2 linked regions of the Elephas maximus indicus genome follow. The protein of the gene in region 2 purifies or fractionates together with the protein of the main gene of each other region. This does not show direct contact. Links are inferred from orthologs where the notes say so. Each region holds a gene or a part of one and is shown on either strand. Other genes may lie near its edges.

The links.
Region 1: the proteins of XPO1 (region 2) and ATP-dependent RNA helicase DDX19A fractionate together in Homo sapiens (co-fractionation; 3 studies listed by BioGRID, with this or other methods). This does not show direct contact. The link is inferred for Elephas maximus indicus from reciprocal best matches to the Homo sapiens genes XPO1 and DDX19A.

What each region holds. Positions count from the first base shown.
Region 1 is NC_064839.1:40,154,233-40,161,329, reverse strand, and holds the start of ATP-dependent RNA helicase DDX19A, read left to right. Parts: upstream 1-4,076; 5' UTR 4,077-4,161; coding exon 4,162-4,218; intron 4,219-6,559; coding exon 6,560-6,608; intron 6,609-7,097. UniProt on the Homo sapiens protein: ATP-dependent RNA helicase involved in mRNA export from the nucleus.
Region 2 is NC_064844.1:728,724-736,194, forward strand, and holds the start of XPO1 (exportin-1), read left to right. Parts: upstream 1-4,455; 5' UTR 4,456-5,182; intron 5,183-5,816; exon of another isoform or gene 5,817-6,039; intron 6,040-7,471. UniProt on the Homo sapiens protein: Mediates the nuclear export of cellular proteins (cargos) bearing a leucine-rich nuclear export signal (NES) and of RNAs.

The DNA of each region.
Region 1 (7,097 bases), on a different chromosome or scaffold from region 2:
ACTGTGAGGGTTCTTTCTCAAGAGTTCGTCTTCTAGTGGGGAAAGTCAAAAAGTAAACTGGAAGGAGGCAAGTAAGATGATTTTTGATGGTATCCAGATGTTCACCGAACTGTCACCAATTAATAGGGAAGGGGTGGGGGCCTTAGGTAATTTATATGCTCTTGATGCACTATTATACCACAATTAAATGAGTAAATTATGACATAAAAAATACATATTCATATAATAAAAAGATGAAAATTGAAATTGTATGTATACTTTGTTTAGGATTATGTACAATACCCGTGCTATTGATGCATATGAACAAAGAATAGAAGGACCCAGAAGAAAAGGAAACACTAGTGTGGGTGTGAGTGTGGGTGTGTGTTCACTGGAGTGGTGAAATTGTTAGGTGCTATTGAGTCATTCTGGACTCACAGCAACCCCATGGTAGAATAACTGGGGGTTTAAGGGTTTTGTCTCTTTCCACTGATGTAGTTGATTTGATTCCTGTGTATTCCATCCAGTGAGGTTCACATGTATAGTCACCATTTATGTCGTTGAAAAAAGGTAATTACAATGAAGAAACTGATGGTCTTGCAAAATTCTGTCATGCGATCTCTGGTAGCGTTTCTATCATCAAGGCCATATTTTCCAGCTACTGATCTTCATTTCCAACTTTGCTTTCCAATCACCAGTAATTATCAAAGCATTTTGATTGCACGTTTGGTCAATTTCAGACTGCAGAAGTTGGTAAAAATCTTCAATTTCTTCATCTTTGGCATTAGTGGTTGGTGTGTAAATTTGAATAATAGCCACAATTAGTAACTGGTCTTACTTGTAGGCGTGTGGATATTACTCCTATCACTGACAGCATTGAACTTCAGGATAGATATTGAAACGTTCTTTTTGACGAGGATTGTGATGCCATTCCTCTAAAATTTGTCATTCCTGGCATAGCAGACCATATGACTGATTCAAAATGGCCAATACCAGTCCATTTCAGCTCACTAATGCCTAGGATATTGATCTTTATGCATTCCATTTCATTTTTGACAACTTCTAATTTTCTTAGATTCGTATGTCATACATTCCACATTCTGACTATTGATGGATGTTTGCAGCTGTTTCTTCTCATTTTGAGTCATGCCACCTCAGCAAATGAAGGTCCCAAAAACTTTACTCCATCCACGTCATCAAGGTCAACTCTAAGGAGGCTGCTCTCCCCCAGTCGTCTTCTGAGTGACTTCTAAGCTGAGAAGATCATATTCTGGCACTATATCACACAATATTCTGCTGCTATACATAAGGTTTTCACTGGCCAATTTTTTCAGAACTGTCAAGTCTTTCTTTCTAGTCTGTCTTAGTCTAGAGGCTGCACTGAAACCTGTCCACCACTGGTGACTCTGCTGGTATTTGAAATACTGGTGGCATAGCTTCCAGCATCACAGCACAACAAACTAAGCCACCACAGTACAACAAACTGACAGAACAAGGCCAGGGGCTGACTTCAGAACAGACCATCAATTGCTCATATGCAAGTTCAAGTTAAACTCAAGAAAATTAAAACAAGTCCACCAGAATCAAAATAGGGCCTTGAGTATATCCCCCCTGAATTTAGAGACTATCTCAAGAATAGATTTGTTGCACACAACACTAATGACGGAAGACCAGACGAGTTGTGGAATAACATCAAGAACATCATACATGAAGAATGCAAGAGGTCGTTAAAAAGACAGGAAAGAAAGAAAACAGAATGGATATCAGAAGAGACTCTGAAACTTGCTCTTGAACCTCAAGTAGCTAAAGCGAACAAAAGAAATGATGAAGAGCTGAACAGGAGATTTGAAAAGGCAGCTTGAGAAGACAAAGTATTATAATGAAATGTGCAAAAACCTAAAGTTAGAAAACCAAAAGGAAACAACATGCTCGGCATTTCTCAAGGAGAACTGAAGAAAAAATTCCAGCCTCGACTTACAGTATTACAGAATTGTATGGACAAAATACTGAATGATGCAGGAAGCATCAAAAGAAGACAGAAGGAATACAGACTCACTGTACCAAAAAGAACTGGTGGATGTTCAACCATTCAGGAGGTAGCATATGACCAAGAACTCATGGTATGGAAGGAAGAAGTCCAAGCTGCACTCAAGGCACTGGCAAAAAAGAAGGCTCCAGGAATTGATGGAATACCAAATGAGATGTTTCAACAAACTGATGCAGTGCTGGGAGTGCTCACTCATCTATGCCAAGAAATTTGGAAGGCAGCTACCTGGCCAGCCAACTGGAAGAGATCCATATTTGTGTCCTTTCCAAAGAAAGGCAATCCAATAGATGGCAGAAATTATCAAACAATATCATACACAAGTAAAATTTTGCTGAAGATAATTCAAAAGCAGTTGCAGTATGTTGACAGAGAACTGCCAGAAATTCCAGCCAGATTCAGAAGGGGATGTGGAACCATGGGTATTATTGTTGATATCAGATGGATCTTGGCTGAAAGCAGAGAATACCAGAAAAACCTTTACCTGTGTTTTATTGACTATGCAAAGGCATTTGACTGTGTGGATCATAACAAATTCTGGATAACATTATGAAGAATGCGAATTCCAGAACACTTAATTGTGCTCATGATGAATCTGTACATAAACCAAGAGGCAGTAGTTCGACAAGAACAAGAGGATACTGCGTGGTTTAAAATCAAGAAAAGTGTGTGTTAGGGTTGTATCCTTTCATCACACTTATTCAATCTGTATCCTAAGCAACTAATCCAAGAAGCTGGACTATATGAAGAAGAACACAGCATATGGTTTGGGGTAAGACTCATTAACAACCTTCCATATGCAGATGATACAATCTTGCTTGCTGCAGGTGAAGAGGACTTGAAGCACTTACTGATGAAAATCAAAGACTACAGTCTTCAGTATGGATTACACCTCAACATAAAACAAAAATCCTCACAACTGGACCAATAAGCAACAGAGAAAAGACTGTGGTTGTCAAGTTTTCCTTTTACTTGGATCCACAATCAACACCCATGGAAGCAGCAGTCAAGAAATCAAAGGAGACATTGCACTGGGCAAATCTGTGAAAGACTTTTAAAGTGTTGAAAAGCAAAGATGTCACTTTGGGGACTAACGTTCATCTGACTCAAGCCATGGTATTTTCAGTCACCTTATATGCATGCGAAAGCCAGACAATGAATAAGGTAGACCGAAGAAGAACTGACGCCTTTGAATTATGGTGTTGGTGAAGAATACTGAAAATACTACGGACTGCCAGAAGAAGGAACGCATCTGTCTTGGAGAAGGTACAGCCAGAATACTCCCTAGAAACGAGGATGGGAAGACTTCGTCTCACGTATTTTCGACATGCCCTGGAGAAGGACATCATACTTGGTAGAGGATCAGCGAAAGAGAGGAAGACCTTCAACAAGAGGGACTGAAACAGTGGCTGCATGATGGGCTCTAGCATAGCGTAGCAAAGTGTTTTATTACATGGGGTCGCTGACTCCACAAGAGGGTTTTGTTTTCTTAGACATTACCGTTCTTGACAACAGGAACTGGCATCATACAGTATTCTTCACGGGCCTTTTCTTTGTACGGAGCCACTCAACGGCAACTGGTTTGGGTTTTTTGCTGCGACACTCAGGCTGCTAACCAAAAGGTCGGGGCTCCAATCCATCAGCAGCTACTAGGAAACCATATTGGGGCAGTTCTATTCTGTCCTATAGGGTCGCTATAAGTCGGAACGGACTTGAAGGCAACGGTTTTTCTTTATACAGGCTTTCTGGTTCACAGAAGCGCACGTACATATTTAATATGACACGCGGTAAGTTACAAATAAAACGAGTTATTTCAGTGTGAAGTAAGGTAGTGAAGTGAGGGCAAAACAGTTTTACTTTGAAGAACTTACGGATTTAAGGCACTACGAGGCAGGAGCAGGGAACTACAAATACAACGCGGGAGGTTTAACCACGCCGGAATAGGGCTGAAACACAGGGCCGGCGCGACGTGGCGCCGAATGGTGACGTTTTCGCACCTGACGGATCGGACGTCATTCTCGCGCGCCTCCGCTTCCGGCCCGTGTGAGTGACGTTTTCGTGCCGGCGACAGAGTCTGGCCGGTGTTGTCTCGTGGTCTTCAGTATCTTTCCTCGTGTCCACCTCCTGCCCCCGGCACCATGGCCACCGACTCCTGGGCTCTGGCGGTTGACGAGCAAGAAGCAGCTGTCAAGTCGGTCAGTGGATTCTGCTCAAAGGGGCAAGAACGTAGCAGAGGCCCAGGTGGACCTGGGCTCGAGGCCCAGAGAGAGGGAGTGGTAGAGCAGGCCTTTGGCCAGCACGACCTGCACTGCTGCCGTGGGGAATAACTGCGCCCTAAATTTGCTTCTGGAAACCCTGGTGGCTTAGTGGTTAAGAGCTACTTCTGGTAATAAAAAGGTCGGCAGTTCGAATCCTCCTGGCGCTCCTTGGAAACTCTACGGGGCAGTTCTACTCTGTCTTATAGGGTCACTGAGTCGAGTCAACTCGATGGCAGTGGGTTTGGTTTTAATTTGCCTCTGGGGCTAAAAAGACCAACATTGAGCTTTTGATCATCATCTAATCCAGTTAAAGACTTGTTGTTGTTAGATGCCATCTATTCGTAGCGACCCCATGTGACAGAATAGAACTGCCCCATAGGATTTTCTTGGCTATAATTTTTATGGGAGCAGATAACCCGGTCTTTTCCCCGCGGACCTCCAACCTTCAGGTTAACAGCGCAGCGCAAATATCTCTTCACTGTATATTATTACCATTCCTGTGTTGCACCTGTTTCCCAGTGGCGTTTGTAAACAAAGGCAAATGTAGATGGTCATTCTGTTTCATTGAAATAACACATTTACAGGTTTAGATTTAATGTCTCAGTGTACTGTAAAGGTAAGATAAAGTTTAGATTTGTTTAGAGACAATGGACTGTTGGTAGTGACAATATAGACTATTTACTGAAGACTTTTCCTGTAGTCTGAAGCCTTCTGTAGCTTTTTTTTTTTTTAATCTACTCAGTGTATTTTTTCATTGTACTTCAGATGAAGGTTTACAAAGCAAATTAGTTTCTTTAAACAGTTAATACACATTGTTTTGTGACATTGGTTGCCAACTCCACTACATGTCAACACTCTCCCCTTCTCAACCTTGGGTTTCCCATTACTAGCTTTCCTGTTCCCTCTTGCTTTCTTGTCCTTGCCCCTGGGCTGGTATGCCCATCTAGTCTGATTTTGTTTTATTAGCTGTCTGATCTTTGGCTGAATTCTATAACTTTTTAATGCCTAAATTACGTTTCTTCTCCAGCTATGCTTTGTTGATTTGGGAGTACTATCAGTTCATCAGCAGATAAATAAAATGGGTTAAACCTGGTGGAGTATAGGAAGAAGCTTTATAGTCTTAGCCAGGAAGACTACAATGTGGGAAGTGCTATGAAAGAAGTAAGAACAACATCTTAAATGACCTCTGAAGAGGGAGAGGACATTTATGAGTGGGAAAATGCTGGAAATTTCTTGTGAAGAAACTTATATTTGAGCTGGATTTTAGAGATCGAGTCATATTTAAGATAGAGATGACGGCGAAAGACATTTTAGGAGGAGAAAATGTGCCAAAGTGCTGGACTTGCCTAGAGAACAGGAATCAAATAATTTTGGCTGCAACTTAAGGTGATTGGTTTGGAGTGGGGCAGTATAGAAAATATCGCAGGGAGTATACTTTAGACCTTGACTAAAAACTGAAGGAGAGGGGGCTTTATTTAGTAGGCTTGTGGTCCAGGGCTTGATTTGAGTATTCCTCAGAACCCGACAACATACCTTTACAATACCATCTGAATATCACACTTTACTCTTCCAATATAGAAAAATAGTTCTCATGACAGTGGAGAGTTGTTTGCAAATTTATGAATTATTGCTCTGCTTGCAACTTAGCAAGTTTGTATTGACTAGGAGTACGTGGCCAGGAGTAAAGGAGAAATCATTTTGTTCAAGCTTCTGTAAGATTTTTAAATCAGGAACTTGGGTTTGTCAATACTTTCATTATAAAAAATAAGTTTCTCCCTAATTTATAATCTAGGAGGTTGATAAGACAAGAAAGAGGGCTGTAATTTATTTGCTGAGTGTTGCCTGAATACAGCATGGGTTTTAGGGGTTAAAAAAAAAAAACCAAACTTATGAGATATTTACATCGTATCATTCTTTACCTAGAAACAAGCTGTGTTTGTGCCTTTGAAAGTTTATATTTGATATATGTTTATTGAAGGTTAGATGTCCTGGGAAGAGCATGAGTTGGGAGAAGAGCAGAGGTTTGAGATTGCTGACATACTTTTTCTTCCTACTATTACATTTAGTTTGCCCTTCCCCCTGTTTTTTAGGCTGTAGAAGAGATTTGAAATGATGTTTACACCCAGTCAATTCTACATCAAGCAAAACAAACCTGGCCCCTGAAGATGGGTGTTGAAGTAGCTCCTGCTAGGCTTTTACTAGAGACCTCCCCTGTGCCCAAAAGTCTTCCTTTAACTGGGTCACTTGCTTAACTCTACTTCCTTTCATTCCCATTCAGCTGAGCAGCTTGCAGATCAAGGAAGAGAAAATCAAACCAGATACCAATGGTGAGTGAGTAGTAACTACAAGCCAGGCACAAGCTACACATGTGCTTCTGTTTTGCACTCATTGCTGCAGTGTGAATAGGAGTTTTCACTTAGCCCAACATTTGGTAAATGATTAGAGAGCACTGGATTAGAGAGCCAGTAAATTAGGCTTAATTACTGAAAGGGATGTGTGATGTTTTCCAGATTTGATCCAGCCTCTCATTCCTTAAATCCAACAATCAGCACTGGAGTATACTGCTACTCTTTACTGGAGATGGTTTCTTTGGAAAATTATTTTTGTTTAATTTTTTGAAAGATAATTTGGGTCCAAAACTCAAAGTATAAAAAGTTGAAAGCCCTTCTTCCCATTGTGGTCCCTCATTTACCGAGGTCCCACTCCCCACCCCATCCCATAAGTAATCACTGTTATTTGTCTTATTAATATTCTTTTGAAGTTTCTTTAAGCAAAAGAAATATAAATATAGATTTATATTCCCATTTTCTTTCTCA
Region 2 (7,471 bases):
GTGCTGTGATGTACTGTTTTATGATGTCTTTTTAAAGCAAATAAAACAACAATTTTCTCATTAGATATTTATAAAAAACATTTTGTCCAGTACTTCCCTTTAAGCCTCACTAAGTACAAACACGTCCCCTAGCTTATTGGAAGAAAAAGCCTGAGGAATTGTGAGTTTGAGATCAAGTCATGAATATGCACAGTGAATTAGACGATGCATGGTGTTTGCTCAGTCCAAGTGCTTGTTCTATGGTTTGTGGAAAGAAATGCGTGTTAGAAGGCCACTGCTGTATCTCTGAGAGCAAAGTGGTATTAATTTTCTTAAAAACAACGAAAAGACCAATTCTGTCATTAGAATAACAGATTTAATGTACATATTTATCTTATTTTTTTCCTACATTATATGGGCATTTAATGTTATCATTTGTGGATTCTTTGAGGTGCTCACAGTCAGTAGAGATTGTCTTCAGAACCAAAAGGTCAAATTAAAATGCAAAGATTGCTCATTTGCATCATCAGACTCTATGATGTGACCTTAAAGAGTGTTCTTGTAGGTATGTGTCATAATTTAATCATCTATCATATGGGAGGAAACCCTGGTGGCGCAGTGGTTAGGTGCTATGGCTGCTAACTAAAAGGTCAGCAGTTTGGATCCACCAGGCGGTCCTTGGAAACTCTACAGGGCAGTTCCACTCTGTCCTAAAGGGTCGCTATGAGTCAAAATTGACTCAATGGCAATGAGTTTGGTTTTGAGTTTGTATCATATGGGAATAACAAATACTGATGGCTTTTATAGGAAATAAACATATTGTTCACATATTGACTTAGGTATGTAATTTGCTACAATCTTTTCAGGGGACACCCTGACAGTACCTATCACAATAACAGATACACATACCCTTCAACACAGTAATTCCACTTTTGGGCTTTAACCTAGAGATAAAGTCACATTTAGGCCAAAAGATAAATGTGCAAGGACATTCACTGGAGCATTATCTGCAAGAGGGAAAACCAGGAACAGCCTACTGTCCTCAGTAGGGATACGGCTGAATCATTTATGGTACTGAAATCACGGGGAAGACTAAGGAGCTGTTAACAAGGATGTGGTGGATTTATACATTCTCACCTGTTAAGTAAGAATCAAGCTGCTGAACGATACGTGTGGTATGTCATACATGTTGAACAAAACACAAAAGAAATACGTTCGTAAGTGCATAAAAAAAATCTCGAAGTATACACATCATCCGGGAGATGATGGTTATCTCTAGGCAGAAAGGGGGGGGTTAGTATGTGAAGGAAGACTCCCACTTTTTACTGTAGATATTTCTGTATTGTTTGAATTGTTAAACATGACCAGGTATTTTTTTTTTTTTTAATTTTTAAAATAGTAATGAATAACAAGTGGTGAAAAAGGAATTTGTGGACTTCTCTTATTTCTGATGAATGTTATTTTGTGAAACAATGTTAACTAGTAGAAAGACCAAAAACATGGGTTCTAATATTGACTCAATCACTGTGGGTGGTATGTTTATGGGAATAAAGAGAGAGGAGAGAAACTAAGAGCTACATATACAGTAACCATCTCATATCTCATCAGGCTGTGGTGAGAATTCAGTGAAATATTGTACCAAAAAGTCTTACAGCTTGGTGGACTCCAAGCAGACATTAGAGTTTACTTACATTTTCTTATCCATATTCCACTCCAGGGTTTGAAATCCGTTCAATTCTAGCAAATAAAGGTAATAAGACAGTATTAGACAAATAATATCATACCTCGTGTTCTGATTTTGATCCTGAAAATACCGTGATGAAAGGTAATCATCTGTCCGTCACTCCTTTTTGCAGTTGTTAATGAGATAAATTTATAATGAATACTCCATCTTCTGCAGAGAACTCTCTGGCTAACTCTAAGCAAAATAGACAGGCCAAATATTTATACCTCATTCACTACAATCAGACAGATATGATCCTTTCAGGGGTGTGATTTAAAGATGGGATAAAAAGAGCCAAAGGAGGGGACAGCAGACTATTTTAACTTTACAAAATGCTTTATGGTTTACACTGCTCCTTCAGAAATATTATCCCATTAGATTCTTAACCCCAGTCTTCTGAGGTGGGCCTGGGCCACATCAGCCTCATTAAAAGCGTAAGAAGAAAACTGAGGCCCAAAGAGGTGAAGTTATTTATCCAAGCTCACATTCTGAGCAAAGCCAGGTCTCACTCCTCACTATTTTTATTCCTACTACATGGCTATCCAGAAAGTCAGTACCAGTGGCCTGGGGGGAAAAAATCTTAAAAAAAAAAAAAAAGAGGAGAGCCCTCATTTTCCTGTTAATACAACCTAAGTATCACAAGTGATTAGTGTATAACATCTTGTATGTCATTGCTGTTGTTAGGTGCTGTCACTTCCCACCCATACCAACCCTGTGTACAACAGAAAGAAACACTGCCCGGTCTTGCACCATCCTCACCACGGTTTGCTATGTTTGAGTCAACTGTTGCAGCCACTGTGTCAATCGTCTCGTTAAGGGTCTTCCTTTTTGCTGACCCTCTACTTTACCAAGTATGATGTCCTTCTCCAGAGACTGGTTCCTGCCGGTAACATGTCCAAAGCACTAAGATGAAGTTTTGCCATCTTTGATTCCAAGGAGCACTCTGGCTGTGCTTTTTCCAAGACAGATTTGTTCATTCTTCTGGCACCCCATGGTATATCCAATATTCTCTGCCAACACCATAATTCAAAGACATCAGTTCTTCTTCAGTCTTCCTTATTCATTGTCCAGCTCTCACATGCATATGAGGCACCTGAAAACGCTATGGCTTGGGTCAGGCACACCTTAGTCCTCAAAGTAATACCTTTGCTTTTTAACACTTTAAAGAGGTCGTCTGCCACAGACTTGCACAATATACATCATTTGATTTCTTGACTGCTCCTTCCATGGAAGTTGATTGTGGATCCAAGTAAAATGAAATCCTTTGCAACTTCAGTCTTTTCTCCGTTCAGCATGATGTTGATTATTGGTCCAGTTGTGAGGGTTTTCGTTTTACGTTGAGGTGTAATCCATACTGAAAGCTGTAGTCTTAGACCATATAAATGATATAAAAAAAATTTTTTTTATCATGTATTATACATATTTAATACTATCGTTAAGCAACGAACAAAAATCCTAGGTCTGAAAGTCACCCACTGTCATTTTCGTAAATCTAAGTCTTGGGTTGTTACCGGGCTTCTTTACTGGCTGGGGAGAGTTATTCTTCAGCGGTGCTTCGGTGTCAGCTATCGTCCATCCTGAGAGCTGCTGAAGAAAACTGCGTTGATTTAATAAGCCATTTATCAACCTCTTGTTGGCAGAATGGGCCTAGTAAGTTTTGGTGGGCTGCTGTTTCTTAAGCATAGCAATCGGTAAAGCTGATTTGGAGGGCACTTGGGGACAAACGACAGGCAACCATGTAAATTGTTACAGGCAACCATGTAAAAGAACATATACCTGTGACTTTCACAGAAAATACTATTTGATGATGACGTACGTAAAGGGCAGCTAAGCTGAAAAGAAAACCGAGAGTGGGGGCAGCCCAAGGGCACCAGGTGGGAGGCGGTTGGCGTGCAAGCTTACCCAGCAAAAATACTCGTGGTTAAAGCAATTACAAGGGTTACAGGGTTTAGTTCTTAGGATCACCCAAATGGCAGCCCAGGGAGGCACAAGTAAGATTTTAAAGAGATTCCTGCGCAGGAGCCGCTCGGCCATCTCCTCCCGGGCTCTGATCACGAGGCGCAGGGAGAGCACGCCCCAGCCTCTCCCAGCTACTCTCACCCCCAGACTCAGGCCTCTAAGGCGAACTGGAGGGGCTCGGGGCCACGACAGGTCTTCCCGCTACCACCCCGTCCTCGACTAGGAAACCGCCGGGGGTGCCCTCCCTTTTCGGGGCGCAGCCCCCACCCGAGGCCCCCGCAGCTTGGCGGGAGCAGCCGGGGGCGGGCCAGCGCGCCGGGAAAGCAGAGCGAAGCCGCCGCGCGCCGCGCTCAAACTCGCGCCGCCACCAGCTCCGGAGCGGCGCCCCACCCTCTCCGTCACCAAAGGCGCCCAGCCAATGAGCGAGCCGGAAAGGCTGAGCCTGCGGGCTACGCACGGGGAGGGGGAGCGGCGGGAGGGGGAAGGGAAGTGGGGGCGGGCTGCGCTTGATTGACAGCTCGCTGGAGCCAATCCTCCACGCGGCTTGTCTTGGTTCTCTACTCGGCTCAGCTCTTCGCCCCACCTCCCTCTCCTGCGGCCCCCCCCGCTCCCTTTCGACCCCCCCACTTCCCCTCCCCCACTCTGCGGGCAAATCGCGCTGGAAAGAGGCGGGGGCCGAAGCGGCGGGCTCGTGTGGAGGCTTGAGGCGGGACTGACGGCTGCACCGGCCAATCGGAGCTAGGCTGATGGCGCGGCTGTGGCGGGAGCCGGCCAATGGGCGGGCGGGCTGGGGGCGGAGGCCCAGGTTCCAAACGCTCCGCGGCGCCATGGGCTGAAAACTCAACCGAGATGGAATCTCCCAGTCTGAACCGGTTGAAACCGGTTCCGAGTTTGAGGCACTAGGAGGAGGGGGAGAAGCGGCTGCAGCGGCCGCGGCAGGAGCAGCGGGAGCTACAGCATCAGCAAGAGCCACAGTAGCGACAGCGCGGCGGCCGTGCCTGCTCCGTCCTCGCTGCCGCAGTCCGTGCCGCCGCCCGGAGGGGAGGGGGGCCCCGGTCGCTGAGGAGAAGGGGGGAAAGTTTAGGCGAGCCTCGGCGGGGGCCCGCGCCGGAGCCGCGTGAGGGAGCCGCGCTTCGGCAGGGGGAGTCGGACTGCACCTGGCAGCGGAGCGTCCCCCGCCGTGTGGACTCTGCGCCCTCCTGCCGCCGCCCGGGCTGCGGGGTCCCCGGGGCTGAATCTGTGGGACTCGACCGCTCCCCTCCCCCTCCCGACTCCCCGCGGGCGGGAGCGCCGACTCCACAGACTAATTCCCTTCTTTTTGGGGGGCGGGTGGGTGTGTGTGGGGGGAGGTGTCCCGGAATTGTAAATATTATTGAGCCTTTTTTTCGCCCTTTTCCCCGTTTTTTCGGTTTCCCTTTTTAAGGTGGGAACACTGTGAATCCCACCTCGGCCCCTCTCCCCTCCCGCCTCCCCTGCCCTCGCCCCGACAAGGAAGGAAGCAGCAGTTGGTTCGCTCCCTGGGTAAGTCGGCCGGCGGGGCGGCGGGCGGGCGGCGGCGGGCGGCGGGCCGGGGCCGAGCGGAGCCGCGATGAATGGAGGCGGCGGGGCGGCCGCGTGTGCGGCGGCGGGGAGCCCGGGAGGGGAGCCCGGGAGGGCACGGCCGCCCCGGCCCCGCGGGCTGCGCGAAGTTGGGGGACTGCGGGAGGACCTCCGTAGGCTCTGAGGCGTGGAAGTTTCCAGAAACATGTAGTGCAGCAGCCCTGAAGCGTCCGCCCGCGTCACGTGGCCCTCGGCGGAGGCTCGGGATCGGGAGGGACGGAGGGAGGGGCTGCGAGTCCCGCTTCTCCTGGCGGAAACTCGGCGGCTTTGTGGCTCTGCGGAGCGGCCGAGGGCGGCTTCGGGGCCGGGCCGCGGCGTCCCTCGTGGGGCGCGGCGTCCCTCGTGGGGCCGCAGCCTCGCGCGCCCGCTTCAGGGCCGGCGGGGTACCATGGGGGATGCCCTGCTTCTGCTCCCTTCCAGCAGCCGAGTGTGGGGTGGCGGGAGGGGGGAAGTGGTGTGGGGAGGAGGCCTCAGGCTGGGCCCGGCCCTGCTGCCCTCCCGCCGAGGCCGTGCTGCGGAGGGCCCGGGGGGCCTGAGGCGGGAGGCTGGGGGCCCGGGGGTCCGCAGACCTCAGCGCCGGGCGGGCCCTTTGGGCACCTCGCTCTTCGGCCCCGTGTGGGCTTGTCACTGCCGCCGTGACGGTGTTCGGGGTCTGGGGCGGGAGCTGGCGGCGAGCTGCCCCTGTGGAGCCTGAGGTGGCGGTGGAGGCATTTTGGCAGTCACTCGTGGAGTCACAGCTATGTCGGCTGATCCCTGCGACGTGCCATCTATGCCATCTAGTGAGTGGATCTTAGGGTCGCGGCGCCCCAGGAGAGGAGAGAGCGTCTGGGGTGTCTGTCCTTAGGCTCTTGCTCTTGGCTGGCTGCGGGATCGTGTATCCTGAGAGCGGGGCGCCGCTCTCAGTGGAAGAGTGTTTGGGGAGCCGGTGGACTTGGGGGACGGAGTGCCTGGCATTTCTGTCCTCCGACGGCTCGGGAGTAGGCAGGTCGCTGGGAGGACCCCGCCGGCTGAGGGCGGCAGCTGCCCGCTGTGAACACGGGTCTTCTCAACCTGCTTGTCCGCCCGGGGGCGCGGGGGACTCCTCGGGGACGGGAACCTTGGGAGGAGTCGCTTCATTCCTGTAAAAATACCACAGGTAGAGCTGCATAGAAAAGTAAAAGTTTGGTTTTCAGCCCCCCCCCCCCAAATTAGAAAATTTATCATGTGTAGAGTTTGGTACTTTCTGGGCAGTGCTTTCAGGTCTCGATTTTTAAGATATTTCTGACCTAAAGTGGGGGAAAATTTACGCATTTCTTTGTGTAGTGTTCTGTTTTTTTATGTTACGTGTTGAGTTTTAAGACTTTTTTTGGGTATGACAGGTATTTTGCTGTTTCAGAATTGTGTGTGATACCTGTTATAAAAAAATATGATGTCCCGTCAGTTTTAGTTGTCAATAATGGGCCAGAAGACTTCAGAAGAATAAAAATGTCTTGGAACTCTTAATATCTCGATGTTTACATTATGTCTGACTTAAATGACTTCATATTTTAGACTAATAGTTGTTGTAATTGAAATTGCTGTTATTGTTGTTAAACGTTTTTTGAACTACTGTGAAAGAGCCTTAGAAATCACACCTTTCCCCCTGTCAAACTAGTTTGTCTAAATATAATGCCATCAAATTATCCACTGTCTCCTGATAATGGAAGGTTCCTAAGAGGGGAAGAAGTGGAAGTGGCCATCCGCCCTGGTTGGTTGTAAATACCGTAAACCAGGGGTTCTTAACCTGGAGTTTTATGGATGATTTCGAAGTGTTCTGAATCCTCTAATTTTATACAAAATTGTGAGGTTTTTTTTTTTTTTTAATTGGGCAAGAACTATAGTGTTCTCTGATTCTAAGGCATCTTGACCCAAAAAAGGCTATGGAGTTGAAGGGCATTAAGTTTGAAGAAAGCAAGCTAAGATGTTCTATAACACTGAGCAACCAAAATGTGCCTGAGTTCCAGCATGGTGGAGTAGAATTCTCTTAAAAGGGTAATGTTGCGAATAAACCAGTAGGTTTTAGCCAGTGCGTTTATTAGAGGCCAAGTAATGATGTCTTTGTTACGGTATGGTTTGTTTTCATTTGGAAAATACATAGTTGGTGAACTGAATACCTGGACGTTTTCTCAAATCTCACTTGGCCACAAAGTTTTCTTTTTCCTAAACCATGTATTCAAGGATTTTATATACTTG